Anolis sagrei: one gene and its partners. The protein of the gene in region 3 interacts with the protein of the main gene of each other region in a pairwise test. Links are inferred from orthologs where the notes say so. Each region holds a gene or a part of one and is shown on either strand. Other genes may lie near its edges. The genes, in order: ABHD16A, RFX6, DTX2 and ARNT2.

Region 1 (7,478 bases), on a different chromosome or scaffold from region 3:
GCCGTGATCCAACCAGGCACTTCTGCTGTCTTCCTTCAACTACAAGACTTTATTTGCTTTGTTATCAAAATACAATGCTGAGGCACAAAAGGAAGGCCAGGAATAGTTACTCCAAGCCCTATCGGCACGGCACACTTCCCGAGGAGCCTAGTTTGAGCGGCTTATCAAAAGAAACATGGATTGATATAATGAAAGGGAAGGGAAATTATGGTATATGAGTTAGTTTTAATGATGTCTTGAGCATTTCCCAGCTTCTCCTCAGGTTGTGCCACTCAACTTTTGTATATTATTTCTAGCACCCACTTTTTGCTTGATAGTCAAGCAATGCTTCTTGTAAGTCAGAGCACAGTTCAGGGTGACATCCAGGTATTTTGGTGTGCTGCAATGCTCCACTGAAATTCCTTCCCAGGTAATGGGATTCCTTCCCAGGGCTCAGAGCTCAAGATGCTTGTCTGTTCTTAAAATGAAAAGCACACCTCTGCTTTTTAGATGCATTAGGAATCAGCTGGTTTTCCCTGTAATAGGCAGTAAGAACACCTAAAGCTTCAGAGAGCTTCTGTTCAACCATTTCAAAGCTCTCTGCTTGAGCGGTGATGACACGATTGTCAGCATAGATGAAACTCTCTGTCCCTTCTGGCAGTGGCTAGTCATTTGTGTAAATGCTAAATACTGATGAAGCAAGCACGCTCCACAGGACAAGCCCTTCTTCTGTTTTTACTATCTGCTTCCCTGATCTTGGAACTCAACAATGAAGATTTCATATGAAGCAGATGAGGTGGTAGCCCTCTATGATATTATAATTTTTCTCAGGAAGAGGAGATGATTTACAGTATCATAAGCTGCTGTCAGGTCTATGAAGACAACTCCTGTAATCTGCTGCCTTTCAAAACCATCTTCTATGTGCATCTTCTATTTGTGTAAATGTAGCAAGCATGCTCCTCTGAGGCAGACCATCCTTCTTTCTTCCAATAGTTAAACAACCAGATAATGAAAACAACCACCTTTGTGAACCTTTCACAACCACTGAATTGGAAATGGCTCTCAACAAATGTAAAATGGCAAAGCAGCTGGCTTGGACGATCTGCAGATGGAACAAATTAAGAACTTTGGTCCAAAAGCAAGATGCTGGCTGCTGAAGCTGATGAACAACTGCATTGCATCCTATCGGATCCCCAAAATCTGGAGGAAAGCAAGTCATAGCCACTTTGAAACCAGGCTAAAACCATTATGATCCAAAAAGCTATAGACCAATCTCCTTGTTGTGTCATCTTTATAAGGTTCTGGAGAGAGATATTTGCATAGAATTATGGAAAAATATACCTGTTTATGATTCCACAGCAAGCTGGTTTTAGGAAAGGGAAAAGCTCCACATCACAAGTGTTGAACCTGACTCAGCACATAGAAGATGGTTTTGAAAGGCAGCAGATCACAGGAGTCGTCTTCATAGACCTGTCAACTGTTTATGATGTTGTAAATCACCGCCTCCCTCTGAGAAAAACATATAATATCACAAAGGATAACCACTTCATTTGCTTCATAGGAAATCTACCCCATAGCATTGAGCCATGGCAGTTAAAAGTGGTGTCAGACTGCATTAATTCTACACTATATATGTATTAATTAATTAATTTCATGCTTTATCTCTCCATATGGAGACTCAAAGCGGTGCACAATCAAAAACATTACAACTTAAAATATACATATATACAATAATAGACAATATATATTATATATTATTTTATATTATTTTACTGACACAAAAACACAGTATGTCACAACAAACAAGATATATATGCTGGATTTCGTATCACAAAATCACAAGTTAAATACTTCCCAAGCATCTAGGACTGTGTGGTGTATTTTTGAATGATGTGCACAGATCCAAGTAAGGTGGCTTTTTGCGGTTGATAGATCGTGATTTTGTCAATGTTTATTATATATTTTTATTTTATTCCTTCATCACATTATTTTGCATCTGTTTATTGCATTTTCTGTTATTTTATGTATTTTGTTTTGATGCTATTATTTGCTGTTTGTATTTTATTTTATTTTATTGTACTGTAATTCTGGGCTTGGCCTCGTTAGCCGCCCCGAGTCCCCTTTGGGGAGATGGTGGCGGGGTATAAATAAAGATGGTGATGATGATGATGATGATTATATATTATCAGTAGTAATTATATTTAATATATTAGCATTACTATATTACAATAACATTATTATATATTATATTGTATTATTAGTAGTATTTATATTGTATTATATATTATTATCAATATATTTATATACAATATATTACATCATTAGCAAAGCACAATATCAGTATTATTTATTACTATATTGCACCATAATACTGCAATATTATTAGTAATATTACATGTAATCCATAATATACAATTATTATATTACTATATTGTACTATATTAATATACTACAGTATATAAAACATTACCTGTATATTATACTATTATATAATATACTGTACTATATATTAACTTGTAGTATATATAATATATTGTATTATTATTAGTATTATATTGTATTATAATCAATATTATATTTATATGCAATATATTACATCATTAGCGAAGCACAGTATCAGTATTATTTATTACTATATTGTACCATTAGGCTATACTGAAATATTAGGTTCTTGTGGGTTTTTTCGGGCTATAGAGCCATGTTCTAGAGGCATTTCTCCTGACGTTTCACCTGCATCTATGGCAAGCATCCTCAGAGGTAGTGAGGTCTGTTGGAATTAGGACAATGGGTTTATATATCTGTGGAATGGCTGGGGTGGGGCAAGGAACTCTTCCCTGCTGCAGTTAGGTGTGAATGTTTCAACTGATCACCTTCATTAGCATTTGAAGGCCTGCCTGAGCCTGGGAAAATCTCTTGCTGGGAGGTGTTAATCTGTGCCTGGTTGTTTCCTCTCTGTTGTTTTGCTGTTGTAATTTTAGAGTTTTTTAATACTGGTAGCAGATTTTGTTCATTTTCATGGTCTCTTCCTTTCTGTTGAAATTGTCCACATGCTTGTGGATTTCAATGGCTTCTCTGTGTAGTCTGACATGGTGGTTGTTGGAGTGGTCCAGCATTTCTGTGTTCTCAAATAATATGCTGTGTCCAGGTTGGTTCATCAGGAGCTCTGCTATGGCTGACTTCTCTGGTTGAAGTAGTCTGCAGTGCCTTTCATGTTCCTTGATCCATGTTTGGGCATTGCTGCGTTTGGTGGTCCCTATGTAGACTTGTCCACAGCTGCATGGTATACGGTAGACTCCTGCAGAGGTGAGAGGATCCCTCTTGTCCTTTGCTGAACGTAGCATTTGTTGGATTTTCTTGGTGGGTTTGTAGATTGTTTGTATGTTATGTTTCCTCATCAGCTTCCCTATGTGGTCAGTGGTTCCCTTGATGTATGGCAGGAACACTTTTCCTCTGGGTGGATCTTCATCTTGACTCTCGTGGCTTGTTCTCGGTCTTGCAGCTCTTCTGATGTCTGAGGTGGAGTATCCATTGGCCTGGAGAGCCCAGTTGAGGTGGTTCAGTTCATCTTGAAGGAGGTGGGGTTCGCAGATTCTTTTTGCACGGTCTGCCAAGGCTTTAATGGTGCTTCTTTTTTGACTTGGGTGATGGTTGGAGTTTTTATGTAGATATCTATCTGTGTGTGTGGGTTTTCTGTAAATGGTGTGACCCAATTGTTGATCTGGTTTACGGATGACTAGGACATCTAGAAAAGGCACTCTTCCTTCATTTTCTTTTTCCATGGTGAACTGGATGTTTGGGTGGATGCTGTTAAGATGGTCCAGGAACCTGTTGAGTTCTTCTTCTCCATGGCTCCAAATGGTGAAGGTGTAATCCACATATCTGAACCATATCGTGGGCTTTTTGGTTGCTGTCTCCAGGGCTTGTTTTTCAAAGTGTTCCATGTAGAAGTTAGCTATGACCGGGCTGAGAGGGCTCCCCATAGCTACTCCATCTTTCTGTTCGTAGAATTCATTGTCCCACTGAAAGTAACTGGTGGTGAGGCAATGGTGGAACAGAGCCGTGATGTCTTCTGGGAACCTCTGGTTGATGAGTGCCATGGTGTCTGCTACCGGGACCATGGTAAATAGAGATACCACATCGAAGCTGATCAGTTTGTCGTTGGTCAACAATATAATATATTGTATACTATTATATTATTATATTGTACTATATTAATATACTACAGTATATAAAACATTACCTGTATATTATACTATTATATAATATATTGTACTATATATTAACTTGTAGTATATATAATATATTATGTCTTAATTACAGCATTATAATTATACAGATGCACTCAGACAGTACGAAAACTTGGGCTGTCTTTTGTATTTCCCGCCTGCTGTTGCATCACAAACCAGAGGCTAGGCTAGCGTTCTGGAAAACCAAGGCACCTTTTTGTCCCTTTCCCCTCCCTGTAGGAAACCCGGAAGTGCGGCTCCCCCCTGTCCTCGCTCCCTCCTCCCTTCCCCGCTGCCCGGCTTCGGGTCCGTCCCAAGATGGCGAAGTTATTGAGCTGCATCTTGGGGCCAAGGCTGTACCGGGTTTATCGAGACAGGGACCCTCCCAGGATCCGCCGCCTCCGGGATGTGGCCGACGACCCAACGCAGCCTCTCCTGGAACCCTCCTGGGTGAGTCCATTAACCTTAATCCCTCCCCCCGTTGAAGATTTGGTATGTCCCACGTCCCCCTTTTGTACCGAAGCTGGCGGGCTGAACCATTACAGCAAGGAGGGGGAGGACTCTATTGGGCGAGTCCATTACTTTCTTTTCCTCTGTACCCCCTGGTGAAGACTTGGTCTATTCCAAGTCACTCTTTTACAGTGCTTGGAAGGCTGAACCATTACAGTAAAACGGGGGCCACTATGAGCTATGTAAGGGGTGGGATTATTCTGACCTTTTGAAAGAGATAATGGCAAAATAGTACAAACAAAGGAGGTTGTAGGAGGAATGAAAGAAAAGGGTGAGGCTACACCTAGCTCATGCGTGGCTTTTATGGTTCTTTTGTTATACTTCCTCTTCTCCACCCTCAATTGTGTTGCCACCTTCTCCTATAATCATAGTATAATAGAGTTGGAAGAGGCCACATGGGCGGTCTAATCCAACCCTTTGCCATACAGGAAAAGCACAATCAAAGCACCCCCGACAGATGGCCATCCAGCCTCTGTTTAAAAGCTTCCAAAGAAGGAGCTTCCAACACACTCCTATGGCAGAGAGTTCCACTGCTGAACAGCTCTCACAGTTAGGAAATTCTTCCTAATGAATTCTTCCTAATGAATATACCATGAAAATGAACAAAATCTGGCTACCAGTATTAAAAAACTCTAAAATTACAACAGCAAAAGAGCAGAGAGGAAACAACCAGGCACATCTTAACACCTCTCAACAAAAGATTCCCCCAGGCTCAGCCAGGCCTTCAAATGCCAATGAAGGTGGTCAGTTGAAACATTCACACCTAGCTCCAGCAGAGAAGAGCTCCTTGCCCCACCCCAGCCATTCCACAGATATATAAACCCATTGTCCTAATTCCAACAGACCTCACTACCTCTGAGGATGCTTGCCATAGTTGCAGGCGAAACGTCAGGAGAAAATGCCTCTAGAACATGGCCATATAGCCCGAAAAAACCTACAACAACGCAGTGATTCCGGCCATGAAAGCCTTTGACAATACTTTAACACATAATATAAAACAATAACAAACGTCAGGAGAAAATGCCTCTAGAACATGGCCCTATAGCCCGAAAAAACCCACAAGAACCTAGTAATTCTTCCTAATGTTCAGGTGGAATCTCATTTCCTGTCATTTGAACCCATTGCTCTGAGCCCTAGTTTCCAGGGCAGCAGAAAACAAGCCTGCTCCCTCTTCCTTATGACACCCATTCACATATTTATACATAGCTGTCATGTCTCCTCTCAACCTTCTCTCCTGCAGGCTAAATATGCCCAGTTCTCTAAGACGCTCCTCATGGCAATTCATGGTCTCCAGACCTTTGGTCATTTTAGTTGCCCTCCTCTGGACACCTTTCAGCTTGCCAATATCTCTCTTAAATTGTGACTAAAATTATAGAATCATAGAATTGGAAGAGACCTCATGGGCCATCCAGTACAACCCCCTGCCAAGAAGCAGGATTATTGCATTCAAATCACCCCTGACAGATGGCCATCCAGCCTCTGTTTAAAAGCTTCCAAAGAAGGAGCCTCCACCACACTCCGGGGCAGAGAGTTCCACTGCTGAACGGCTCACACAGTCAGGAAGTTCTTCCTCATGTTCAGATGGAATCTCCTTTCTTGCAGTTTGAAGCCATTGTTCCATTGCGTCCTAGTCTCCAAGGAAGCAGAAAACAAGCTTTCTCCCTCCTCCCTGTGGCTTCCTCTCACATATTTATACATGGCTATCATATCTCCTCTCAGCCTTCTCTTCTTCAGGCTAAACATGCCCAGCTCCTTAAGCCGCTCCTCATAGGGCTTGTTCTCCAGACCCTTGATCATTTTAGTCACCCTTCTCTGGACACATTCCAGCTTGTCAATATCTCTCTTGAATTGTGGTGCCCAGAATTGGATACATTATTCCAGGTGAGGTCTAACCAAAGAAGAATGGAGAGGTTCCATGACTTCTCTCATTCTAGACACTATACTCCTTTTGATGCAGCCAAAAATCTCATTGGCTTTTTAAGCTGCCGCATCACACTGTTGGCTAAGGTTCACGATGTTGTCTACAAGTATTCCAAGATCTTTCTCACATGTACTGTTGTCGAGCCAGGTGTCACCTAGCCTGTATCTCTGCATTTCATTTTTTTCTGCCTAAGTGTAGTACACTACCATATAATGGAGATTATCAAAGCAGATAACCCAGATTGTCTGTTTTGAACTGGTTTATCTGAGTCTATACTTCCATATAATCCAGTTCAAAGCAGATAATCTGGATTTTATATGTAGTGTAGAAGAAGTCTCTGGGGATCAGAGTTTGAGTCCCTGCTCAGCTGTTAAAACCCATTGGTTGACCCTGGGCAAGTCACGTACTTTTATTTCAGAAAAGTTGATAGATTGTCTTTGTTGTTTTGTGTCTTCAATGCTTCATCTGTTGGGGGTGCTTATATTTTCCTTTATGGCGTGGGATTCAACTAGATGGATGGTCCTTGTGGTCTTTTCCACTTCCAGGCTTTTAAGGCTTCTTCTACCCAGCCATATAATCCAGATTATCAAATCTACACTACCATATAATCCAGTTCAAAGCAGATAATCTGGATTTTATATGGCAGTGTAGAATTTGCCTTAAAGTGCATCTACAGTGTGAAATGGGTGCAGTTTGACACCACTTTGACTTCCGTGACTCAATGTTATGGAATCTGGGGAGTTGTAGCTTTACTAGGTATTGAGCCTTCTCTGACCAAAGAGTGCTGGCGCCTCATCAAACTACAATTCCTGTGATCCTATAGCACTGAGCTATGGCAGTCA
Region 2 (7,342 bases), on a different chromosome or scaffold from region 3:
GAATATTCTGGATATAAAATATGGTAGGGCTTTTTCCTTTGCTGAATCCATTTTTCACCACATATGGGGTAAGGGTTTTTGTTGTAGAACTTTAGCACTACTTTTTTTGCATAAACAATTAATTGATGGTTCTGTGGTTACTACACCCCTGGTATTTCCTTTCTTGGGAAGTGGAATGTATATCCAGTGTTTCTGTAAGCTATTGTTTTGTTTCCCATATTTAGAACTAGAGTAAATGTTGTCCTTTAGCTGGATATTGGTGTGCTATCAGTTCCTGGTGATTTATTTCTCTCTAGTGCTCAGAGTGCAGTTTCCATTTTAATTTATAAAGTTATTGGCTCATCATCAGATTGTTCTTCCTTGAATGAATCTGCCATCCTTTCACGTCCTTTATATATTTTTTCAATGTATGGTTTTCATTGGCTTTTATTTCTACTTAGTCATGTAATGTCTTCCCCTGCTGGTTGTAGAGCATTCCCACTCTTGTTTTCAATTTCCGTGTTGTATGTCAGCCTGTGATTGTGTCTAATGATCAGGTTGTTTTGGATGATGGGAATGACAATGTTGTTCATGTTCAAGTTGATTCTTCTGATGGAAATGGAGATGCTGTCCATGAAGATGTTCCTGAAGGGAATGGGGATGACGGTCCGTTTCCTGGACCTGGTTTTAGACATTGGGGGGGGGGGGGGTCTGAATGCAGTTCAAATGATGGCTTAGAGAAGGCTTTATTGCTATAAGGGGATTCTCAAGGTCTTGAGCCTGAGAAAGGCTCTGCGCCGCAGTCCACTGGTCAGTTATCTCCAGGTGCAGATTTTAATGAAGGCTTGAACATAAGTGTTTTTAGCCAGCAAAGACAAACAAACCAGCAATTATGGCACTCAGCCAGATTACATCAGAAGTTAGAAGTGAAACTAAAGTTAAGGAAAAATCCATTCTTAGCTGTTTGTGAAATAGGGCAGGAACATAAGTGCCAAGTACAGAATCTAGCTTCAGATGAAGCAATGTTCAGATGAAGCAACTTGCTTCATGCCAAATTCCTGGACCCTTGTCTTTGTTTGATTCCTGTTTGAAGTGCCTTTGCTGTTATTTGCCTTTGAAATCAAGCATCTAGTTTCATGGACTTCTTTGGACTATCTCTCTTTGGACTAATTGCTCCTTTTTCTTCTTAATCAATTGGATTTACCTTTTGCTGTGGACTACTTTTTATTGCTTTGGCTTTTATTACATACAATAAACTGCTTGCTATTTGAACTAAACTGTGGTGTTTGAAGTCACAGGGGATCCTGCTCTGGAGTGTAACACTCCCTTTGATTTCTTGGATCTCGTGGAAGAGGTCTCTTGTTCTTTCTTTTTTTGTTGTCATCATTTATTTTTCTGAATTGATTATTACAGTACTTTTCCTTGTTCTTGTGCACAGAAATATTTTTAATTAATAAATAATAAGATTTCTTCCTTAAATAGTTCATTGTGTAGAATTCAAAGGCATTGCTATGTTTGTCTGGAATAGTATGCAAAGGGATCTTGTAATATCTTAGAGACAAGCAAAGAGAATGAAGTTGATACTAGTAGCACATGCTTTTGTAGGTTAAGTGTACAAAGGTTGCAACTGAGGAAGTAGACTGAGTGTACAAAAGTTTATGCACCTAATTTTGTTCTCATAGGCCCCTTCCACACTGCCCCTGTACCCAGGATCTGATCCCAGGTTTAAACTCGATTATATGAGTCTCCATGGCCAGATAATCTAGGATCAGATGCTGAGATACAGGGGCAGTGTGAAAAGGGCCTTAGACTCTAAGGTGCTGTTGTAATCACAACAGTGGTGCAAGTGGCTGGTTGAAACAGAACAAGCTACCAGAAGATAAGTGAGACATTAGCTGAGGTCTAAAGAGTCTGAGGCCAAGGAAACCAAATCAATAAGTCTGTTTAGGGTTGAGCCAGAAGAATAATGACAACAGGTCTGAAGTCAAATCCACAAAGGAACAAGTAAGTGTTGGAAACCAGGTCAAAACAGAGTAGTTTTCCACACCAGAGAAGCATCATGCAACTACTTGATTTATAGCTCTGGTTCCTCTTCTCAGCTGCTCCTTGATTTAGCAGAATTTTTCATAAAGTGGCACAACTTCCTGAACTCCTCTCTTTGCTGGTCTCTCTCTATCAATGTAGGCATTTTATCTTGAACTTTCTAGCTGCTTCTGGCTCCAGTTTCAGCCACGGGAACATCCACGGGCTTCACTGGCACTTCCATCTGCTCTTCCTCTTTGCTGTCTGAGCATAGTATGAGAGGTGCTGCAAGATCCCTTTGCATTCTTAAACTGTGAAAGATCCATGTAATAAATCTGGGCTAGTTGGGCCAATGGGAGGATTCAATACATGACAGCTTTCTATGCTGTGATATTTTTCTCTCCAACCCAGTTCTCAATCATGGAATGACCATTGGCTTAGAATCATAGAATAAGAGAATTGGAGGAGACCACATCAGCCATCTAGTCCAACCTGCTGCCATGCAGGAAAAGCGCAAAGTATCTCTGACAGATGGCCATCCAGCCTCTTTTTAAAATTTTCCAAGGAAGGAGGTTCCACCACACTCTGAGGCAGAGAGTTCCACTGTTGAACAGTTCGTACGGTGAGGAAGTTCTTCCTAATGTTCAGGTAGAATCTCATTTCTGTAATTTGAACCCATTGCTCTGAGTTCCGGTTTCCAGGGCAGCATAAGGAAGAGGTCTATTCCCTCTTCCTTATGACACCCTTTCACATATTTATACATGGCTATCATGTCTCCTCTCAACCTTCTCTTCTGCAGACTAAACATATCCAGCTCCTTAAGATGCTCCTCATAGGGAACGGTCTCCAGACATTTGATCATTTTAGTCACCCTCCTCTGAACACCTTCTAGCTTGTCAATATCTTTTTGAACTGTGGTGCCCAGAATTAGACACAGTATTGCAGTTGAGGTGGAACCAACCTGGACACAGAAATGCTGGACCACTTTCACAACCACCATGTCAGGCTACACAGAGAAGCCATTGAAATCCACAAGCATGTGGACAATTTCAACAGAAAGGAGGAAACCATGAAAATGAACAAAATCTGACTACAAGTATTAAAAAACTCTAAAATTGCAACAGCACAACAACAGAGAAGAAGCAGGCAGGGACATCTAATTACCTCTCAACAAAAGTTTGCCCCAGGCACAGTCAGCCCATTGTATGCTAATCAAGGTGGTCAGTTGAAACATTCACACCTAGCTCCAGCAGACAAGAGTCCTTTGTCTCACCCTGGTCACTCCACAGATATATAAACCCTTTTCCCTAGTTCCAACAGACCTCACTACCTCTGAGGATGCTTGCCATAGATGCAGGCGAAACGACAGGAGAGAATGCCTCTAGACCATGGCCATACAGCCCGAAAAAAACCTACAACAACCCAGTGATTCTGGCCATGAAAGCCTTCGACAATACATCAATACAATGATTTATTTTGTGGATAAAAAATCACCAGTAGATGGCATAGTTTAACAACATACTTCTTCCTTTGCAGCTTCTGAAGCAGAATAATGTTTTACTGATCTTTGGTGGGAGATCTGGAGGAATATTTGGAGTAGTCATGCAGCAAAATTAGAAAATGCACAAAACAAATAAGGACACTTCCCTTTTTGTTGCAAATACAATTGAAATTTTATTAATATTTAACTGTCATTGCTTGAACTCATGGCCATCCAATTACCTATTAACTGACAAAAGAAATAACATCTGATGCAAAATGTATGCCAAATAGACTAATATAATAACTTTATCTTCTCCTTTATGATTTTAAATACTTTAAACATGTTAAGCTTATCATATTTTACACAAAGGATAGGTGTTCAACCATCTTTAAGGGTAGCCCCCCAGAAGGTACATTGCTATAGCCCAAATGGGAGGTCTTCGGGGCATAGATTACCATGAAGTTAACCCTCTTCGGATATAATTGTAGCTAAGACACTGGATTGATTATGACCAACCCTTTTTTAAAATGAGGAAGTACAAGTTCTTGAGCTGTGTTGTGTATTCCATCCTCCACAAATAGACACTGCAGCTGAAAATGTTGTGTTTCTGAACTCTGGAAGACAAGAGCAAAACAGATGGCGTACTTCACTCATCTGTGAGTTTAACTTTTATATATATATAAGATTATTCACATTTTATTACTATGGCTTTTCTAGGAATATTATGGGACTCCAGTGCAACTCTAAGTTCAATTCCCACCGGAAGATGATCCTGAAATTGCACTGGAGTAGTGGTCTCCAACTTTTGGTCCCTTCAGGTGTTTGGGACTTCAACTCTGAGAAATCCCAGCCAGCTTATGAGCTGTTAAGAATTATGGGAGCTGAAGTCCAAAACACCTGGAGGACCAAAGGTTGGGAACCATTGCACTGGAGGACATAGAGGTTCCTAAATAAGAGTTCTTTTAGGTAGTGATTTTAATTTGCATTTTCCCAGCTTCCATTGCTTGTCAAGCAGAGCTTGTCCTGCTGCTGTAGCACTAAAGGAAAGAATGCTTCACCATGTTGGCTGAAGCTCACCACATTTTTTGTGTGTGCCAGGAGTGACTTCAAAACTGCAAGTTACTTCTAGTGTGAGAGATTTGGCCATCTGCAAGGAATGCCTAGATGTGGTGTCATCCCATGGGAGGCTTCTCTCATGTCCTCACATGGGAAGCTGGAGCTCACAGACAGAAGCTTACCCCACTCCCTGGATTCGAACCACCGACCTTTTGGTCTGCAGTCCACCTGGCACAACACTTTAACCGATTGTGCCACCGGGGGCTCCTATATTGTATGCTTACTACATACTACATATGCATCCAGGAAGAGAATGTGATGTGGATGAAATAATGGTAAAGGTGATGGGCAACTAGGGGAGAACGAGATGAGCAAAAAGGAAGATTTCCCCACACTTCACTAACCAGGTATCCAGAAGATTGCAAGGAATTTACAAGCACTAACATTTGCATTTAATTTATAAATCAAAATGCTGGCTAGCCAATACATTTCTATTACTTCACAGGCAGAGCATGGATTTCTTTTGGGGGGGGGGGGGGGGGTGAATTAATGCAATTTGACTCAACTTTAAGTGCCTTGGATCAGTTCTATGGAATCTTGGGAATTGCAGTGTGGTGAAGCACCAGCACTCTTTGGCAGAGAAAGCTAAAGACCTTGGAAAACTATAAATTTTATTCCACTAATACATGGTATTAGTACTATGGAATGGAATTTATAGTTTTCCAAGAACTTTAGCCTTCTCTGCCAAAGGGTGCGCCCACATTTTCTCCCACATTTTCTGCAAATGTTACCTTTCAAAAATTTCAAGAATGAAAAAGTTTCTAGAAGAAAATACTATTTCAAAATGGAGGTTTCATGTTTAAAATGGTAATCTGTTATAGCATTTTTTAAAACTATAAACTATATGCTATAGAAATGACTGTAATAATCATTAGGCAGAAAGCTCTGTTTTATCCATACAAACCTTTGTGGACTTCCATAGAGGAAACTGTATTGGGCAATGGCAGCTAGCATGGCAAAATCTTTTACATATTTTCTGAGAGATAGCAGTGGGGAGCTGAAGCAAATAATGGGGTAGAGATTACAGTGGAGTTGGTATAGCCAGGTCTTTGGGGGATTGGTTCAGTTGAATTCTGCCAGGAAAATGCCAAAAACTAAAGTCTTGGTTACCACCTGGGAGTTGTGTGATTCTAATTGAACCAACAGCACTATGCTACACTTAGACTATGCTAAGTTTATAGCAAATACGAAGGCTGTACAGATTATCATGGTTTTTCTTCTTCTATTTGTTCGAAAGTGAATGCATAAAAATAGCCAAACAGCAAAGAAGCTGTAGTATAGGGTGAGCAAACCATGAATTTGAAAACACTGGACTCAATTTTATTGCTAAGCCTAACTGGAATATGCCCGTTAGGTTTGTGCACTGAACCATTTTCCTTTGTTTCATCCATTCTTTTGTTACTTTTTACTTTAAGGTGCACGTAACAGGAAGCCCTCTCCCGGTATGAAAATGAACTCAACACGAAAGCAAGTGGGAACTGATCCTGGCTCTTTACTTTTTTGTAAGCAGCCTCCTTGCCTTGGAAAGAGTGTGTATGTGGTGTGCAGGCCCAGAAAGCGTGCACGTCTGCCTGCAGCCAAGCACCTCCTCTGAAACAGAACTTGTCTCCTTGCCTTGGAAAAAGTATGTGTGTGTATGGCATTCAGGCCCATAAAGCATGTGAGCCTGCCTGCAGCTGAGCGTCTCTCCTGTAGAGTAGAAACACTAACAGTTTAAATGCTTAAAGTGATGGGAAACGGAGCCTGGGAAGCCCCCTTTCCCCCATAATGGGCTGATAGAAAACGGATCTTTCAGCACCCCAGAGTGAAAACAGATATCTGCCCTCCAAATTTTGGGAGGTGCCCCCGAAAACCAGATCTGGATCCCTACCAGAAGTTGTCACACAAAATGGGTCAAGGTTTACCCATATTGCACAACCCTAATACCCATTGAATTGATGAGAGTTATTTATGTGCTTTCTAATCATTTTATAACTGAACATTAAGGAAAACTAATCAGGAGAAAATAATCCTGTAACTGTTTTACTAAATGCAGTTGCATTGGATTTATGTTATTTAAAACTTTAATTATTTGCATGCATACATTTCAAAAAGAACTGAGCTCAGTGATCCTTTGAGATGGAAAAATATGCAGAATTGGATTATATGTAAAAATAATAACATATTCAAACTCAAATTTAGAATTATTAATTTTAAAAAGAGAAGACAGAGTTAATATACTAGTTGGAAGTAACACCTCACAATTATTTAACTTAGTGTTATAGTGTTTCAATGTATTCTACTTCAATCTTTCTTCTTCTGCAAGTTGTACAAACATGTATACTTGTTATTCTCTCTGAGTCTGCACTGTCATAGAATCATAAAATCATAGAATCATAAAATCATAGAATCAGTGCAATAAGGCAGAAACAGGAAACCTTACCATACCAACTAGATTCAACATGGATGATTGAGATGATTTTAACCAGTGAATTTTAATGTCAAGATAAATTATTGTAATATATGTATAATCTATTTATATCCCAGCATTGAATGTTTGCTGTTTGTATGTTGTGCTCCACCCTGAGTCCCCTCGGGATGATAAGGGCGGAATATAAATGTTTTAAATAAATAATAATAATAAATAGAGTTGGAAGATACCTCATGGGCCATCCAGTCCAACCCCTTTCTGCCAAGAAGCAGGAACATTGCATTTAAATCACCCCCGACAGATGGCCATCCAACCTCTGCTTAAAAGCCTCC
Region 3 (7,920 bases):
CAAATCAAACAATTAAAACAAATTAAAGCAAAATAAACAACAAGCACAGTACATTAAAACACAATAAAACTGGGCCGGGCCAAAAGGTGGGTACAAGGATTAAAAGTGCTGATTTGACAGGAGGTGTATAAAGGGTTTCTAGGGCGAGTGCGATGTGCAATGTGCAGCAGTCATTGGTTCTGATAAAGTGCTTGTGGGACTCGGTAGTGGAGGTTTCCTAATCTGGGAAGGTGCATCGGAAAAGCCAGGTTTTTAAGTTCTTTCTGAAAATAGCCAATGAAGGGGCCTGTCTAAGGTCTTTGGGGAGGGTGTTCCAGAGTTGGGGGGCCACCACGGAGAAGGCCCTGTCCCGCGTCCCCACCAAGCGTGCTTGCGACGCCTGTGGGATCACGAGCAGGGCCTCTCCTAATGACTGAAGAGAACGTGTGGGTTCATAGATGGAAATGCGGTCATGCAGGTAGGCTGGTCCCAAACCGTTCAGGGCTTTGTAGGTAAGCACCTGCACCTTGAATTGAGCTCGGAATATAAACGGCAGCCAGTGGAGTTCCTTAAACAGGAGGGTTGACCTCTCTCTGTAAGGGGCCCCAGTTAACATCCTGGCTGCTGATCGTTGGACCAGTTGGAGCTTCCGAGCCGTCTTCAAGGGCAGCCCCACGTAGAGCGCATTGCAGTAATCCAATCTGGAGGTGACCAAGGCATGGACCACTCCGGCCAGATCCGCCTTTGCTCTATTATTACTGTTACTGCATTTCCATTTTTTTACTCAGCAGGCGAACCATCAACACGCACAAGTCACACTGTTTACCGATTGGCTAGGAGATGGAAGTCCCTGTGGACATTACCTGTATCTTGTCGGAACTGCGTCAAACTGGGGATGTCGATGACGTAGGGGGCCAAAGCAGGGTCCGCTTGCCCCAGGGGGATGCTGCCTTGCAAGGGCCAGGTCCCCAGCGAGCGCCGGCCCTTTGCCGCCAGGGCTTGGAAGGACTGCTCGATGTAGCAGCACACCCCACTGCAGTACGGCCTCCAGCGCCCACACTCGTCCTGCCACTCCCACACCGCGGCCCCCGGGTCCGGCGGAGGAAGAGGAGGAGGCCCGACAGAGGTCCCTGGCAAGGCGGCCATTTTCATACCACCACTTGAACCACGGAGTCTTCGGGACTTCAAAGCATCGCCGCATCAACATTCATCTTCGACGTCTAGAAGCAGAACAGGGAAAAGGAAGGAAAGGCCAAGCGTGACACTCCATCCGCGAGAGAATTTTCTCCCTGCAGGAGATCCCGAGTTCGCCCTCCACACACAGTTATTACATGATTTTTGTTCCTGTGCTACCAATGTTGTTTCCTAATTGGTTCTATCATAAAGTCATGGGAAAACGTTGATCCAACTGCCAAAACTTTGTTGTTGCAAGAGAGACATCCTGCAGCACATTTTGCGACAGTTTTTCTATAAATATCTCAACACAGAGTCTCAACCGATTCAACCCGAACGACACTGCCACACAATGGAATGGCTAAAACACCAAAGTCAAAATATTATCAGAATTTAAGTTATTCAGCCAGAAATTGAAAAGAATCGTATAGGCTCTTTATTATTATTATTATTATTATTATTATTATTATTACTATTTGATTAATACATCTGTACTGCAGAGCTAAGGCAGTTGGATATATATATATATATATATATATTACATTACAGTAGCATTATAATGCTACTGTAATGTAATATATATATATATATATATAAATATATATATATATATTACATTACAGTAGCATTATAATAAATTATAACAATATTATAATATATAATAATATGATATATAATATTAATTTAATAATTACTATTACTATTTGATTAATACATCTGTACTGCAGAGCTAAGGCAGTTGAATATATATATATATATATATATATACACATATATAATAGTAACATAATAAATTATAATAATATTATAATATATAATAATAATATAATATATAGTAATATTAATTTAATAATAATAATTACTATTTGATTAATACATCTGTACCGAAGAGATAAGGCAGTTGGATATATTATATATATATATGTACATATATTATAGTAATATTATAATAAATTATAACAATATAATATAATAATATGATATATAATATTAATTTAATAATTATTATTATTACCATTTGATTAATACATCTGTACTGCAGAGCTAAGGCAGTTGGATATTTTATATATATATATATATATATATATATATATATACACACACACACACATATTATAGTAGCATTATAATAAATTATAACAATATTATAATATATAATAATATTAATTTAATAATAATAATAATAATAATTACTATTTGATTAATACATCTGTACTGCAGAGCTAAGGCAGTTGGATAATATATATATATATACACACACACACATACATACCCACATATATAAAAGTGTTATAATATAAATTATAACAATATTATAATATATAATAATAATATTAATATATAATATTAATTTAATAATAATAATTACTATTTGATTAATACATCTGTACTGCAGAGCTAAGGCAGTTGGATATATATATATATATATATATTAGTAACATTATAATAAATTATAAAAATATTATAATATATAATATATAATATTAATTTAATAATAATAATTACCATTTGATTAATCCATCTGTGCTGCAGAGCTAAGGCAGCTGGATCCCTGTTTCACAGGCCTGCTGGCTCAAGGCTCCTGGGTGCTGGGAGTTGTAGTTTGCCAAGGCCTTGGGCCTTTCCCCACCGAAGAGAGGCCTGTTGCCTCTCCCAAACTACAAATCCCAGGATCCTGAGGCAGCCCCAGTGGGGCCTTCTCCCCGCTGCGGCCCGCCCCGAACTACAACTCCCACCCCCCGCAGGCCCCTCACCTTCCCTCTGCCTGTTGCCAAGGAAGCGCCTCTCCAAACTCCCTGGGCCTCCTTCTCCAACGGCGGAAGTGCCGGGGCGCCCACTGCGCATGCGCGCGCTCCTTCCGTTCCCGAAGGGCGCATGCGCATCCGAAATCGCGGTGCCTGATGGGAAAAGAGGCGCAAAATGGCGTCGGTTTGGTTTCCTTTTCAGGCCTAAGAAGTTCCTGAGCCAGGAAAGAGACATTAGAGAAGGCCCACACGAGCAGGGATGGTCTGCCCAAAACAAGACGCTTTTGAGCCAGGAAAGAGACATTAGAGAAGGGCCACATTAGTCCAGAAGGTCTAATGAGGACTCCCATGTTCTTCAGTGGGAGCTTGAGTGGAATTCCTCTCATTTAGGAAAGAGGAAAAGGCAGAGGAAGGAGAGACCCAATTACCAATATCCAGATCCTGGAGAATGGAGAAAGGCAGGGAGTTTCAGAAAAACATCTACTTCTGCTTCATTGACTATTCTAAAGCCTTTGACTGTGTGGATAAGAAAAGGCAAAAGCTGCACATCGCAAGTGCTGAACCTGACTCAGCACATAGAAGATGGCTTTGAAAGGCAGCAGATCACAGGAGCTGTCTTCATAGACCTGTCAGCAGCCTATGATACTGTGAACCACCACCGCCTCCTCCTGAGAAAAATGTATAATATCACCAAGGACGACCACCTCACCCGCCTCATAGGAAACCTGCTACAAAACAGGAGCTTTTTTGTTGAGTTCCAGGTCCAGAGAAGCAGATGGCGGAAACAGAAGAACGGCCTGCCTCAGGGGAGTGTACTTGCCCCATCCATGTTCAACATTTACACAAATGACCAGCCACTGCCAGAAGGGACGGAGAGCTTCATCTATGCTGATGATCGTGCCATCACCGCTCAAGCAGGGAGCTTTGAGATGGTTCAACAGAAGCTCTCTGAAGCTCTAGGTGCTCTTACTGCCTATTACAGGGAAAACCAGCTGATCCCCAACCCATCTAAAACACAGACATGTGCTTTTCATCTCAAGAACAGACAAGCATCCCGAACTCTGAAGATCACCTGGGAAGGAATCCCACGGGAGCATTGCAGCGCACCCAAATACCTGGGAGTCACTCTGGACCGTGCTCTGACCTACAAGAAGCACTGCCTGAATATCAAGCAAAAAGTGGGTGCTATAAACAATATCATACGAAAGCTGACTGGCACAACCTGGGGATCACAACCAGACACATGTGTTCCACACTGGGCATGCGTACTCAACAGCAGAGTAGCAAAGCACAAGGGCAAATGTCTTCACTGTGTCTGGTTGTGATCCCCAGGTTGTGCCAGTCAGATGTTATTTCTAGCACCCACTTTTTGCTTGATATTCAAGCAGTACTTCTTGTAAGTCAGAGCAAGGTCCAGAGTGACTCCTGGTACTTTGGTGTGCTGCAATGCTCCAGTGGGATTCCTTCCCAGGTCATGCTCCGAGCATGAGATGCTTGTCTGTTCTTAAGGTGAAAATAACATGTCGGTGTTTTAGCTGGATTAGGAATGAGCTGGTTTTCCCTGTAATAGGCAGGAAGAGCACCTAAAGCTTTGGAGAGCTTTTCTTCCACCATTTCAAAGCTACCTGCTTGAGTGGTGATGGCATGATTGTCAGCGTAGATGAAACTCTTTATCCCGTCTGGCAGTGGCTGATCATTTGTGTAGATGTTAAACACTGATGGAGCAAGCACGCTCCCATGAGGCCGGCCATTCTTCTGTTTCCGCCATTTGCTTCCCTGGCCCTGGAATTCAACAAAAAAGCTCCTGTTTTGTAGCAGGTTTCCTATGATGCGGGTGAGGTGGTCACCACTTGGGCAGTGATGGCACGATCGTGTTATTTGTTTTATTTATTATTTTATTTACAACATTTATATGCCAACCTTCTCACCCCACAGGGGACTCAGAGCATAGTACAATATCGGTATAATATATTACTATATTGTACTATACCATTATATTGTAATATTAGTAGTAATATTACATGTAATATAAATATATAATTAAATATATAATTATAACATCATATTATTATTAGTAGTAATATATTGCATTGCAGTGCTTCTTGTAAGTCAGAGCAAGGTCCAGAGTGACTCCTGGTACTTTGGTGTGCTGCAATGCACCAGTGGGATTTCTTCCCAGGTGATCCTCTGACCTTGAGATGCTGGTCAGTTCTGAAGGTGAAAAGCACATGTCTGTGTTTTAGATGGATGAGGAATCGGCTGGTTTCCCATGTAATAGGCAACAAGTTGTATAAGTTATGTTTATAACTCCGTTGTTGGGACGTTTGGTTAGCCGTAATACAAAAGAAGTTACTTCTTTTCACCCTGCAAGAAATCAAACAAGACCGGAAAGACTGGGGTGTGCACCTTTGCAGAGAATTGCAGAGAATTGTCACCTGTGTATCTCATTCACGCTCCAAGCATCCGCTGTGGGTCTCCTGCAGAAGATACTTGGCACGATCCAGACCCCCTTTTCAACATTGCGCCCTTGAGGCGGCAGCAGCCGTTGCTCTTCTCCACCAATTGGCGCAACTGAACAAAGGCCATCTTGTTCTCACGCAGCATATGTGCAGCTCAGAAATATTTTCTCTCGTGGGACGGACATGATCTTCCCTTGAAGGGGAACTCTCGGTTGGAACAGTCAGTCAGTGAAGAGCGATGTCCTTTGTTGTTCTCACTTGCTATCACGTGAACTTTGACTTATAGTGGCCCTGCGGAGAGTTGGAAGAGACCGCATGGACCATCTAGTCCAACCCCCTTCTGCCAGGCAGGAAAAGCACAATCAAATCATCCCTGACAGATGGCCATCCAGGCTTTATGTAAAAACCTGTCCTCTGGGGTCTTTGCCCTTTCTCCCAATTTGCTGTCATTTGCAGACTTGACCGGCGTGTCGTCTGTTCTGTCGTCCAAGTCTTGACTTTGGTATTCAGTGATCTGTCTTGACACATGAAGATCTTACCTCATTCCTTCAGAGCTGGCCTTCCAGATCTTAAATCTTCTTGCATCAGGCTCTATGTTCATGAAGGACTGAGCCAAGGTATAGAAAAGCTTTTTAACTAGAGTGTTACCTCACTTATTGTGGGTGTTACGTTCCAGGACCACCGCAAAAAGTGAAAATCCGCAAAGTAGGGATGCTCTATCTCTCTCTCTCTTGTTCGTCGTTGGCAGATATGTATTCAATTGTCTGGTGTTTATGTGGAAAAGTGAATAGTGGTAGTTAAAGAGCACATTCTGCGGATTATTTCTGCGTTGGATTTATTAAAATATTCCCATCCAAACCCAAGTAACAAAGGTGGAGGCATTACTTTTCATTCAACCCTCGTACATGACCAACAATGACTTCCTCTCCATTGAGACACGTTCCTTACAGAAGAAGAAGAAGAAGAAGGGAAGGGAGCGGGGAAATGGGTCCACCTTGTCTCCACCGTCCTCCAAGGTCTGTCATCGCCTTGGAGCAGGTACAAATAGTCGGCTCTTGCCTTCCTTTCCCTCTCTTTGGAAACCTGACCCATTCTCTGGAGAAGGATGTCTCTTTGAAGGTGTCTCGGTCGAACCTCTCTGCAGGTTTCGGTCCGTTTGCTCCCCCAAATCTGCATCCAAACGATGCTCTCCTGCAAGTTGGCTTTAAGCCTTGAAGCTTCCTGCAATGGGAAAGTGGGACCCCACGATTGACGGATGAGGGACTTTTCTCGGCGCCTTGTGTTGCTTTGCAAGGAAAGCAGGACGAAGAAGAAGAGGAGGAGGAAGAAAAGTCTGGAGCATCCTTGCGCATAAAAGAAAGCATTCGCCCTGTGTATTTTGGTTTCTCTCTCCTCCCATGGACTCCTCTTTCCCTTTGATTCTGCATCACCAAATATTCCATTTGGGAAGGTAACCCTGGCATCCTTTCGAAAAGGGGAACGCGGAACGGCCCAAGAGGTAGGTGCCTTGATCCTGAACCACTTTTCTCAACCTACCAAATAATAATATTGTGCATACAGTAGGTTGTTGTAAGTTTTCCGGGCTGTCTGGCCATGTTCTAGAAGCATTCTCTCCTGATGTTTCGCCTGTGTCTTTGGCAGGCATCCTCAGAGGTTGTGAGGTCTGTTGGAAACTAGGCAAGTGGGGTTTATATATCTGTGGAATGGGAGAAAGAACTCCTGTCTGTTGGAGGTAGGTATGAATGTCTCAATTGGCCACCTTGATTAGCATTGAATGGCCTTGCAGTTTCAAGATGTAGTTTCTTACTGCCTGGAGTAATCCTTTGTTGAGAGGTGGTTAGCAGTCCCTGATTGTTTCTCGTCTGGACTGTCCAGGGTGGGAGAAAGAACTCTTGTCTGTTGGAGGTAGGTGTGAATGTCTCGATTGGCCACCTTGATTAGCACTGAATGGCCTTGCATTTTCAAGGTGCGGCTTCTTACTGCCTGGGGGAATCCTTTGTTGAGAGGTGATTGTTTCTTGTCTGGACTGTCCAGGGTGGGAGAAAGAACTCTTGTCTGTCGGAGGCAAGTGTGAATATTACCATTGGCCACCTTGATTAGTATTTAATGGCCTAGCAGTTTCAAGGGGTGGCTTTTTCCTGGAGGAATCATTTGTTGAGAGGTGATCAGCTGCCCCTGATTGTTTCTTGTTTGGCGTTTATATATCTGTGGACACTCCAGGTTGGGAGAAAGAACTCTTGTCTGTTGGAGGCAAGTGTCAATGTTGCCATTGGCCACCTTGATTAGCATTTAATAGCCTAGTAGTTTCAAGGCATGGCTTCTTACTGCCTGGGGGAATCCTTTGTTGAGAGGTGATTAGCTGTCCCTGATTATTTCTTGTCTGGGGTTTATATACTGTATGTATTACTGAATGTATACACGTGTGTGTGTATGTGTATATATATATATATCTTGGGCTCTCTCACTGAAACCATCTGCATCCTCTCCCTGCCTCGCTCTCCTCGCACACAGCCCACAACTGGCACATTGACCTATGGGGGTGAAAAATAATCTCACACTGAAGT
Region 4 (7,648 bases), on a different chromosome or scaffold from region 3:
GGATACAAATATGCAAAATAAATAAAAAATAAATGGATAAACATGAGGCAATGATGTGATGCAGCAGCTTAAAAGGCCAATGCGATTCTAGGCTGAATCAATAAGACTACAGTGTCTAAATCAGACCTAGGCATTGTAGGCAAACTTGGGCCATCTCTCCAGGTGTGTTGGACTTCAACTCCTACTATCCCTAACAGCCTCAGGCCCTTTCCTTAAGCGGCTGAGGGGGAAAAGGAAGGGGCCTGAGGCTGTTAGGAATGGTGGGAGTTGGAGTCCCCCTTTCCTTTTCCCCCTCAGCTGCTTAAGCAGTTCAATATAAGCAGGTGTGCATGTAATTTAGTAGCCCTCAGACTGAGAGAAACGCCTCAGTGAGTGAGGCATTGGTCTGACAGAGCCCTCATTGTGAGGAAGACTTCAGTAGGAGAGAGGCTTCAGTGGGAGAGACGCCTCAATGGGAGAGAGGCCTCAGTGTGAAAAGGAATGGGCCTGAGGGTGTTAGGAATGGTGGGAGTTGGAGTCCCCCTTTCCTTTTCCCCCTCAGCTGCTTAATCAGTTCAATATATGCAGGCGTGCATGTAATTTAGTAGCCCTCAGACTGAGAGAAACACCTCAGTGAGTGAGGCATTGGTCTGAGAGAGCCCTCATTGTGAGGTAAGCTTCAGTGGGAGAGAGGCCTCAGTGGGAGAGAGCCCTCATTGTGAGGTACGCTTCATTGGGAGAGAGGCCTCAGCGGGAGAAATGCCTCAGTGTGAAAAGGAAAGTGCCTGAGGCTGTTAGGAATGGTGGGAGTTGGAGTCCCTCTTTCCTTTTCCCCCTCAGCTGCTTAAGCAGTTCAATATAAGCAGGCGTGCATGCAATTTAGTAGCCCTCAGACTGAGAGAAATGCCTCAGTGAGTGAGACATTGGTCTGAGAGAGCCCTCATTGTGAGGAAGACTTCAGCAGGAGAGAGGCTTCAGTGGGAGAGAGGCCTCAGTGGGAGAAATGCCTCAGTGTGAAAAGGAATGGGCCTGAGGGTGTTAGGAATGGTGGGAGTTGGAGTCCCCCTTTCCTTTTTTCCCTCAGCTGCTTAAGCAGTTCAATATAAGCAGGTGTGCGTGCAATTTAGTAACTCTCAGACTGAGAGAAACGCCTGAGTGAGGCATTGGTCTGAGAGAGGCCTCAGTGTGAAAAGCAAAGTGCCTGAGGCTGTTAGGAATGGTGGGAGTTGGAGTCCCCCTTTCCTTCTCCCCCTCAGCTGCTTAAGCAGTTCAATATAAGCAGGCGTGCATGTAATTTAGTAGCCCTCAGACTGAGAGAAACGCCTCAGTGAGTGAGGCATTGGTCTGAGAGAGCCCTCATTGTGAGGTAGGCTTCAGTGGGAGAGAGGCCTCAGCGGGAGAAATCCCTCAGAGTGAAAAGGAAAGGGCCTGAGGCTGTTAGGAATGGTGGGAGTTGGAGTCCCCCTTTCCTTTTCCCCCTCAGTTGCTTAAGCAGTTCAATATAAGCAAGTGTGCATGTAATTTAGTAGCCCTCAGACTGAGAGAAACGCCTCAGTGAGTGAGACATTGGTCTGAGAGAGCCCTCATTGTGAGGAAGACTTCAGTAGGAGAGAGGCTTCAGTGGGAGAGAGGCCTCAGTGGGAGAAATGCCTCAGTGTGAAAAGGAATGGGCCTGAGGGTGTTAGGAATGGTGGGAGTTGGAGTGCCCCTTTCCTTTTTTCCCTCAGCTGCTTAAGCAGTTCAATATAAGCAGGTGTGCATGCAATTTAGTAACTCTCAGACTGAGAGAAACGCCTGAGTGAGACATTGGTCTGAGAGAGGCCTCAGTGAGAGAGAGGCCTCAGTGTGAAAAGCAAAGTGCCTGAGGCTGTTAGGAATGGTGGGAGTTGGAGTCCCCCTTTCCTTCTCCCCCTCAGCTGCTTAAGCAGTTCAATATAAGCAGGCGTGCATGTAATTTAGTAGCCCTCAGACTGAGAGAAACGCCTCAGTGAGTGAGGCATTGGTCTGAGAGAGCCCTCATTGTGAGTTAGGCTTCAGTGGGAGAGAGGCCTCAATGGGAGAGAGCCATCATTGTGAGTTAGGCTTCAGTGGGAGAGAGGCCTCAGCGGGAGAAATGCCTCAGTGTGAAAAGGAAAGTGCCTGAGGCTGTTAGGAATGGTGGGAATTGGAGTCCCTCTTTCCTTTTCCCCCTCAGCTGCTTAAGCAGTCCAATATAAGCAGGCGTGCATGCAATTTAATAGCCCTCAGACTGAGAGAAACACCTCAGTGAGTGAGGCATTGGTCTGAGAGAGCCCTCAGTGAGGCAGGCCTCAGTGGGAGAGAGGCCTCAGTGGGAGAGAGCCCTCATTGTGAGGTAGGCTTCAGTGGGAGAGAGGCCTCAGTGGGAGAGAGCCATCATTGTGAGGTAGGCTTCAGTGGGAGAGAGGCCTCAGCGGGAGAAATGCCTCAGTGTGAAAAGGAAAGTGCCTGAGGCTGTTAGGAATGGTGGGAGTTGAAGTCCCTCTTTCCTTTTCCCCCTCAGCTGCTTAAGCAGTTCAATATAAGCAGGCGTGCATGCAATTTAATAGCCCTCAACTGAGAGAAACACCTCAGTGAGTGAGGCATTGGTCTGAGAGAGCCCTCATTGTGAGGCAGGCCTCAGTGGGAGAGAGGCCTCAGTGGGAGAGAGGCCTCAGAGTGAAAAGGAAGGGGCCTGAGGCTGTTAGGGATGGTGGGAGTCGGAGTCCAACACACCTGGAGGGCCCAAATCGGCCCAGGCCTAGCCTTCAGAGCCCGTCTCCATGGCAACGCTCCTCTACTCACCCGAGGGGTTCACAGCGGCCGGCGCGGCCATTTTGCCTGGGGCCCAATTCGGAACCTGGCCAGCGAAGGACCCGGATGCAGGGCACCCACAGCGGAGGCCCCCGTCCAGATGCGGGAGGGAGAGCGGCCTCGCCGGCTACACGAAGGAGGGCGCCTCGGTTCTCCTCATACTGCCCAGGATGCCCGGCCCGAGGAGGAACCCTCCCCGCCCTCCGCGCCCTCCCCTCTCATTCCCCTCACGCTCCGCGCCCCCTCCTCAGCCGGACTGCGCATGCGCCCAGCAGCACCTGGGAACGAAACGTCCCGCCCCCTAGCGGGCCTCCCATTGGCCTTCGCGCGGCTCTCCCGGCCCTCTGATTGGTGGGATGGGCTCTGCTTGGCTCTGTGCTTTTGGCTCCAATGGGTGGTTCTTCAGCGCCCCCAGTGGCCACACCCGGAAGTTACACCTTTTCACTATATTGAAGGGGAAAAATGCAAAAACTATGAATTTTAGTTTTTAGAATTTAGGAGCCCCCGGTGGCGCAGTGGGTTAAAGCGCTGAGCTGCTGAACTTGTTGATCGAAAGGTCGCAGGTTCGATTCCGGGGAGCGGCGTGAGCTTCTGCTGTCAGCCCTAGCTTCTGCCAACCTAGCAGTTCGAAAACATGCAAATGTGAGTAGATCAATAGGTACCGCTCCGAAGGGAAGGTAACGGCGCTCCATGCAGTCATGCCAGCCACATGACCTTGGAGGTGTCTACGGACAATGCCGGCTCTTTGGCTTAGAAATGGAGATGAGCACCACACCCCAGAGTCAGACATGACTGGACTTAATGTCAGGGGACTACCTTTACCTTTACCTATGAATTTAGTTCAAAATCTTAAAAGAGGATGCTGTCAAGGTGATGCATGCCATATGCCAGCAAATATGGAAAACATCAGAATGGCCATCAAACTGGAAGAAATCCACTTCTATCCCCATACCAAAAAAGGGAAATGCGAAAGACTGCTCCAACCTCCATACAGTGGCCTTTATTTCTCATACCAGGAAGGTAATACTCAAGATCCTGCAAGGAAGAAGACTCCAGCAATACATGGAGCGAGAGTTGCCAGATGTTCAAGCTGGGTTTAGAAAAGGCAGAGGAACCAGAGACCAGATTCCCAATATCCGGATGCTGGATAATGGAGAAAGGCAGGAAGTTTCAGAAAAACATCTATTTCTGCTTCATTGACTACTCTAAAGCCTTTGACTGTGTGGATCATCATAAATGGTGGCAAGTTCTTGGTGGGATGGGCATCCCAAGCCCCCTTCCCTCTCTCCTGAGGAATCTGTACAAGGACCAAGGAGCAACAGTCAGAACTGACCACGGAACAGGAGACGGGTTCAAGATTGGGAAAGGTGTATAGCAGGGTTGTATCCTCTCACCCATTCTATGCAACTTGTATGCAGAACACATCATGCGAGTATGTGCGGGGCTTGATGAATGCAAGGCTGGGATGAAAATTGCTGGAAGAAACACGAACAACTCAGATATGCAGATGACACCACTTTGATGGCCGAAAGCGAAGAGGAGCTGAGGAGCCTTCTAATCAAGGTGAAAGAAGAAAGCGCAAAAGCCGGGTTGCAGCTAAACGTCAAAAAAGCCAAGATTATGGCAACAAGAATGATTGACAACTGGGAAATAGAGGGAGAAAATGTGGAGGCCGTGACAGACTTTGTATTTCTAGGAGCAAAGATGACTGCAGATGCAGACTGTGGCCAGGAAATCAGAAGACGCTTCCTTCTTGGGAGGAGAGCAATGTCCAATCTCGATAAAATAGTGAAGAGCAGAGACATCAGACTGGCAACAAAGATCCATTGCCTAGTCAAAGCCATAGTCTTCCCTGTAGTCACCTACGAATGTGAGAGCTGGACCTTAGGGAAGGCTGAGCGAAGGAAGATAGATGCTTTTGAGCTGTGGTGCTGGAGGAAAGTTCTGAGAGTGCCTTGGACTTTGAGAAGATCCAACCAGTCCATCCTCCAGGAAAGAAAGCCTGACTGCTCTCTAGAGGGAAGGAGACTAGAGACAAAGCTGAAGTCCTTTGGCCACATCATGAGGAGACAGCAAAGCCTAGAGAAGACAATGATGCTGGGGAAAGTGGAAGGCAAAAGGAAGAGGGGCCGACCAAGGGCAAGATGGATGGATGGCATCCTTGAAGTGACTAGACTGATCTTGAAGGAGCTGGGGGTGGTGACGGCCGACAGGGAGCTCTCGCGTGGGCTGGTCCATGAGGTCACGAAGAGTCGGAGACAACTGAACGAATGAACAACAACAACATGAATTTATATTGATTGTGTGTATTGCTTTATATTGTACATTTATGATACAACTAGCTGCTCCTGCCATGTGTTGCTGTGGCCCAGTCTGGTGATCTGGAAAATAAAGTAATGAGAAAGTGTTGGTTTCTAATATATGCAATTTCTATATGCTTGTGAGTAAACAGTATTTCTTGTTGTTTCTTTGTCAGTGTTGATGTGGAGAGTGTCTGGTTCGCCTACTCTGGAATATGCAACATATCATAGTCCTTCTTTAAGGGTCCTTTTCAGATCTATGATACTATATCTGTGTGTGTGTGTGAGAGAGAGAGAGAGAATCATATCTATCTATCTATCTATCTATATTTATGACTGGATGGCTCTTTGTCAGGAGGGCTCTGATTACATTTTCTTACCCTGGTGAAGGGAGTTGGACTGGATGGCCTTAAGTATTTTCTGTTGGTCATGGGGGTTCTGTGTGGGAAGTTTGCCCCAATTCTGTCGTTTGTGGGTTTCAGAATGCTCTTTAATTGTAGTGAACTATAAATCCCAATAACTACAAATCCCAAATGTCAAGGTCTATTTCCTCCAAACGCCATCTGTGTTCATATTTGGGCATATTGAGTATTCGTGCCAAGTTTGGTCCAGATCCATCATTGTTTGAGTCCACAGTGCTCTCTGGATGTAGATGAACTACAACTCCCAAACTCAAGGTCAATGGCCACCAATCCCTTCCAGTGTGTTCTGATGGTCATGGAAGTCCTGTATGCCATGTTTGGTTGAATTCCATCATTGGTGGAGTTCAGAATGCTCTTTGATTGTAGGTGAACTATAAATCCCAGCAACTACAAATCCCAAATGTCAAGGTCTATTTCCCTTAAACTCCACCTGTGTTCATATTTGGGCATATGGAATATTCATGCCAAGTTTGGTCCAGATCCATCATTGTTTGAGTCCACAGTGCTCTCTGGATATGGGTGAACTACAATTCCCAAACTCAAGGGCAGTGTCCACCAAACCCTTCCAGTTTTTCTGTTGGTCATGGGAGCCCTGTGTGCTAAGTTTGGCCCAATTCCATCATTGGTGGAGTTCAGAATGCTCTTTGATTGTAGGTGGCCCCTCAGCTGTGGAACTCCCTGCCTAGGGATATTAGATCAGCCCCCTCCCTCCTGACTTTTCGGAAGAGAGTAAAGACCTGGCTCTTCGAGCAAACATTCGGAACCCCGGAATAGATAGTCAAGCTTGAGATGGAGAATGACCCAGGAATGGCCAAGACAATGAAACGGATGAGGATTGGTTTGGAACGAGAGGACATAGCTCTTTTAAAACTGCTATTGTCTTTTTTTTGTCTAAATGCACTTAATTGTTTTTGTTTTGTGAATGTATGTATTGATGGCATTGAATTGTAGAAATGCCCTGAGTCGCCTGCAGGCTGATATGGGCGGGATAGAAATAATGTAAATAAATAAATAAATGGTGACGGGGTAAAAATAAATATTATTATTGGAAACACAACAAGATGAGTCCACAGCAGACACACTGCTGGCTGTTGCATTGGATCACACGTCGGACACTTCCCAAGTGTCTAGGACTGTGTGATGTATCGGCAAATAATGCGTGCAGATCCCAGTAAGGTGGCCTTCTGCAACTGGCTGATGGTCATTTTGTCAGCGCTGATTGTGTTTAAGTGCAGGCCAAGGTCTTTAGGCACTGCACCCAGTGTGCCGATCACCATTGGGACCACCTTTACTGGCTAGTGCCAGAGTTTTTGCAGTTCAATCTTTAAATTCTCATATCGTGTCAGCTTTTCCTGTTGTTTCTCTGCAATCCTGCTGCCACCTGGGATTGCGACATTGATGATCCATACATCATCATCATCATCATCATCATCATCATTATTACACTGCCCTGTATCCCAGGATCTGATCCTGGATAATCCACTTTGAACTGGATTATATGAGTCTACACTGCCTGATAAACAGATAATCTGGGATGAGATCCTGGGATAAAGGGAAGTGTAGATCCAGCCTGAGAGGAACATGAGAGCCATGTATAAATATTTGAAAGGGTATCGTGTTACCTGTTAAATATTTGACAGGCTTCTTTTCTTCTGCTCTGGAGACTAGGACACAGAGCAATGGATTCAAATGGTAGGAAACAAATATTTAACCTAAACCAGTGTTTCTCAACCTGGGGGTCGGGACCCCTGGGGGTTCGCGCGGGGGTGTCAGAGGAGTCACCAAAGACCACCAGAAAACACAGTATTTTCTGTTGGTCATGGGGGTTGTGTGAAAAGTTTGCCCCAATTCTATCGTTGGTAGGGTTCAAGGGGCTCTTTGATTGTAGGTGAACTATAAATCCCAGCAACTACAACTCCCAAATGTCACGGTCTATTTTCCCCAAACCCCACCAGTGTTCACATTTGGCCATATTGACTATTTGTGCCAAGTTTGGTCCAGATCCATCGTTGTTTGAGTCCACAGTGCTCTCTGGATGTAGGTGAACTACAACTCCAAAACTTAAGGTCAATGCCCACCAAACCCTTCCGGTGTTTTCTGTTGGTCATGGGAGTTCTGTGTGGCAGTTTTGGTTCA

Evidence for each region.
Region 1: the proteins of DTX2 (region 3) and ABHD16A interact in binary tests that used the Homo sapiens proteins (3 or more experiments, as listed by UniProt). The two-hybrid records come from large-scale screens. The link is inferred for Anolis sagrei from reciprocal best matches to the Homo sapiens genes DTX2 and ABHD16A.
Region 2: the proteins of DTX2 (region 3) and RFX6 interact in binary tests that used the Homo sapiens proteins (3 or more experiments, as listed by UniProt). The two-hybrid records come from large-scale screens. The link is inferred for Anolis sagrei from reciprocal best matches to the Homo sapiens genes DTX2 and RFX6.
Region 4: the proteins of DTX2 (region 3) and ARNT2 interact in binary tests that used the Homo sapiens proteins (3 or more experiments, as listed by UniProt). The link is inferred for Anolis sagrei from reciprocal best matches to the Homo sapiens genes DTX2 and ARNT2.

Annotation. Positions count from the first base shown.
Region 1 is NC_090022.1:20,738,765-20,746,242, forward strand, and holds the start of ABHD16A (phosphatidylserine lipase ABHD16A), read left to right. Parts: upstream 1-4,476; 5' UTR 4,477-4,523; coding exon 4,524-4,655; intron 4,656-7,478. UniProt on the Homo sapiens protein: Phosphatidylserine (PS) lipase that mediates the hydrolysis of phosphatidylserine to generate lysophosphatidylserine (LPS). LPS constitutes a class of signaling lipids that regulates immunological and neurological processes.
Region 2 is NC_090021.1:89,811,145-89,818,486, forward strand, and holds the start of RFX6 (DNA-binding protein RFX6), read right to left. Parts: upstream 3,002-7,342; coding exon 2,963-3,001; intron 1-2,962. UniProt on the Homo sapiens protein: Transcription factor required to direct islet cell differentiation during endocrine pancreas development. Specifically required for the differentiation of 4 of the 5 islet cell types and for the production of insulin.
Region 3 is NC_090031.1:32,855,668-32,863,587, forward strand, and holds the start of DTX2 (probable E3 ubiquitin-protein ligase DTX2), read right to left. Parts: upstream 3,005-7,920; 5' UTR 2,907-3,004; intron 1,200-2,906; 5' UTR 1,132-1,199; coding exon 843-1,131; intron 1-842. UniProt on the Homo sapiens protein: Regulator of Notch signaling, a signaling pathway involved in cell-cell communications that regulates a broad spectrum of cell-fate determinations.
Region 4 is NC_090029.1:33,870,617-33,878,264, forward strand, and holds the start of ARNT2 (aryl hydrocarbon receptor nuclear translocator 2), read right to left. Parts: upstream 3,018-7,648; 5' UTR 2,813-3,017; coding exon 2,782-2,812; intron 1-2,781. UniProt on the Homo sapiens protein: Transcription factor that plays a role in the development of the hypothalamo-pituitary axis, postnatal brain growth, and visual and renal function. Specifically recognizes the xenobiotic response element (XRE).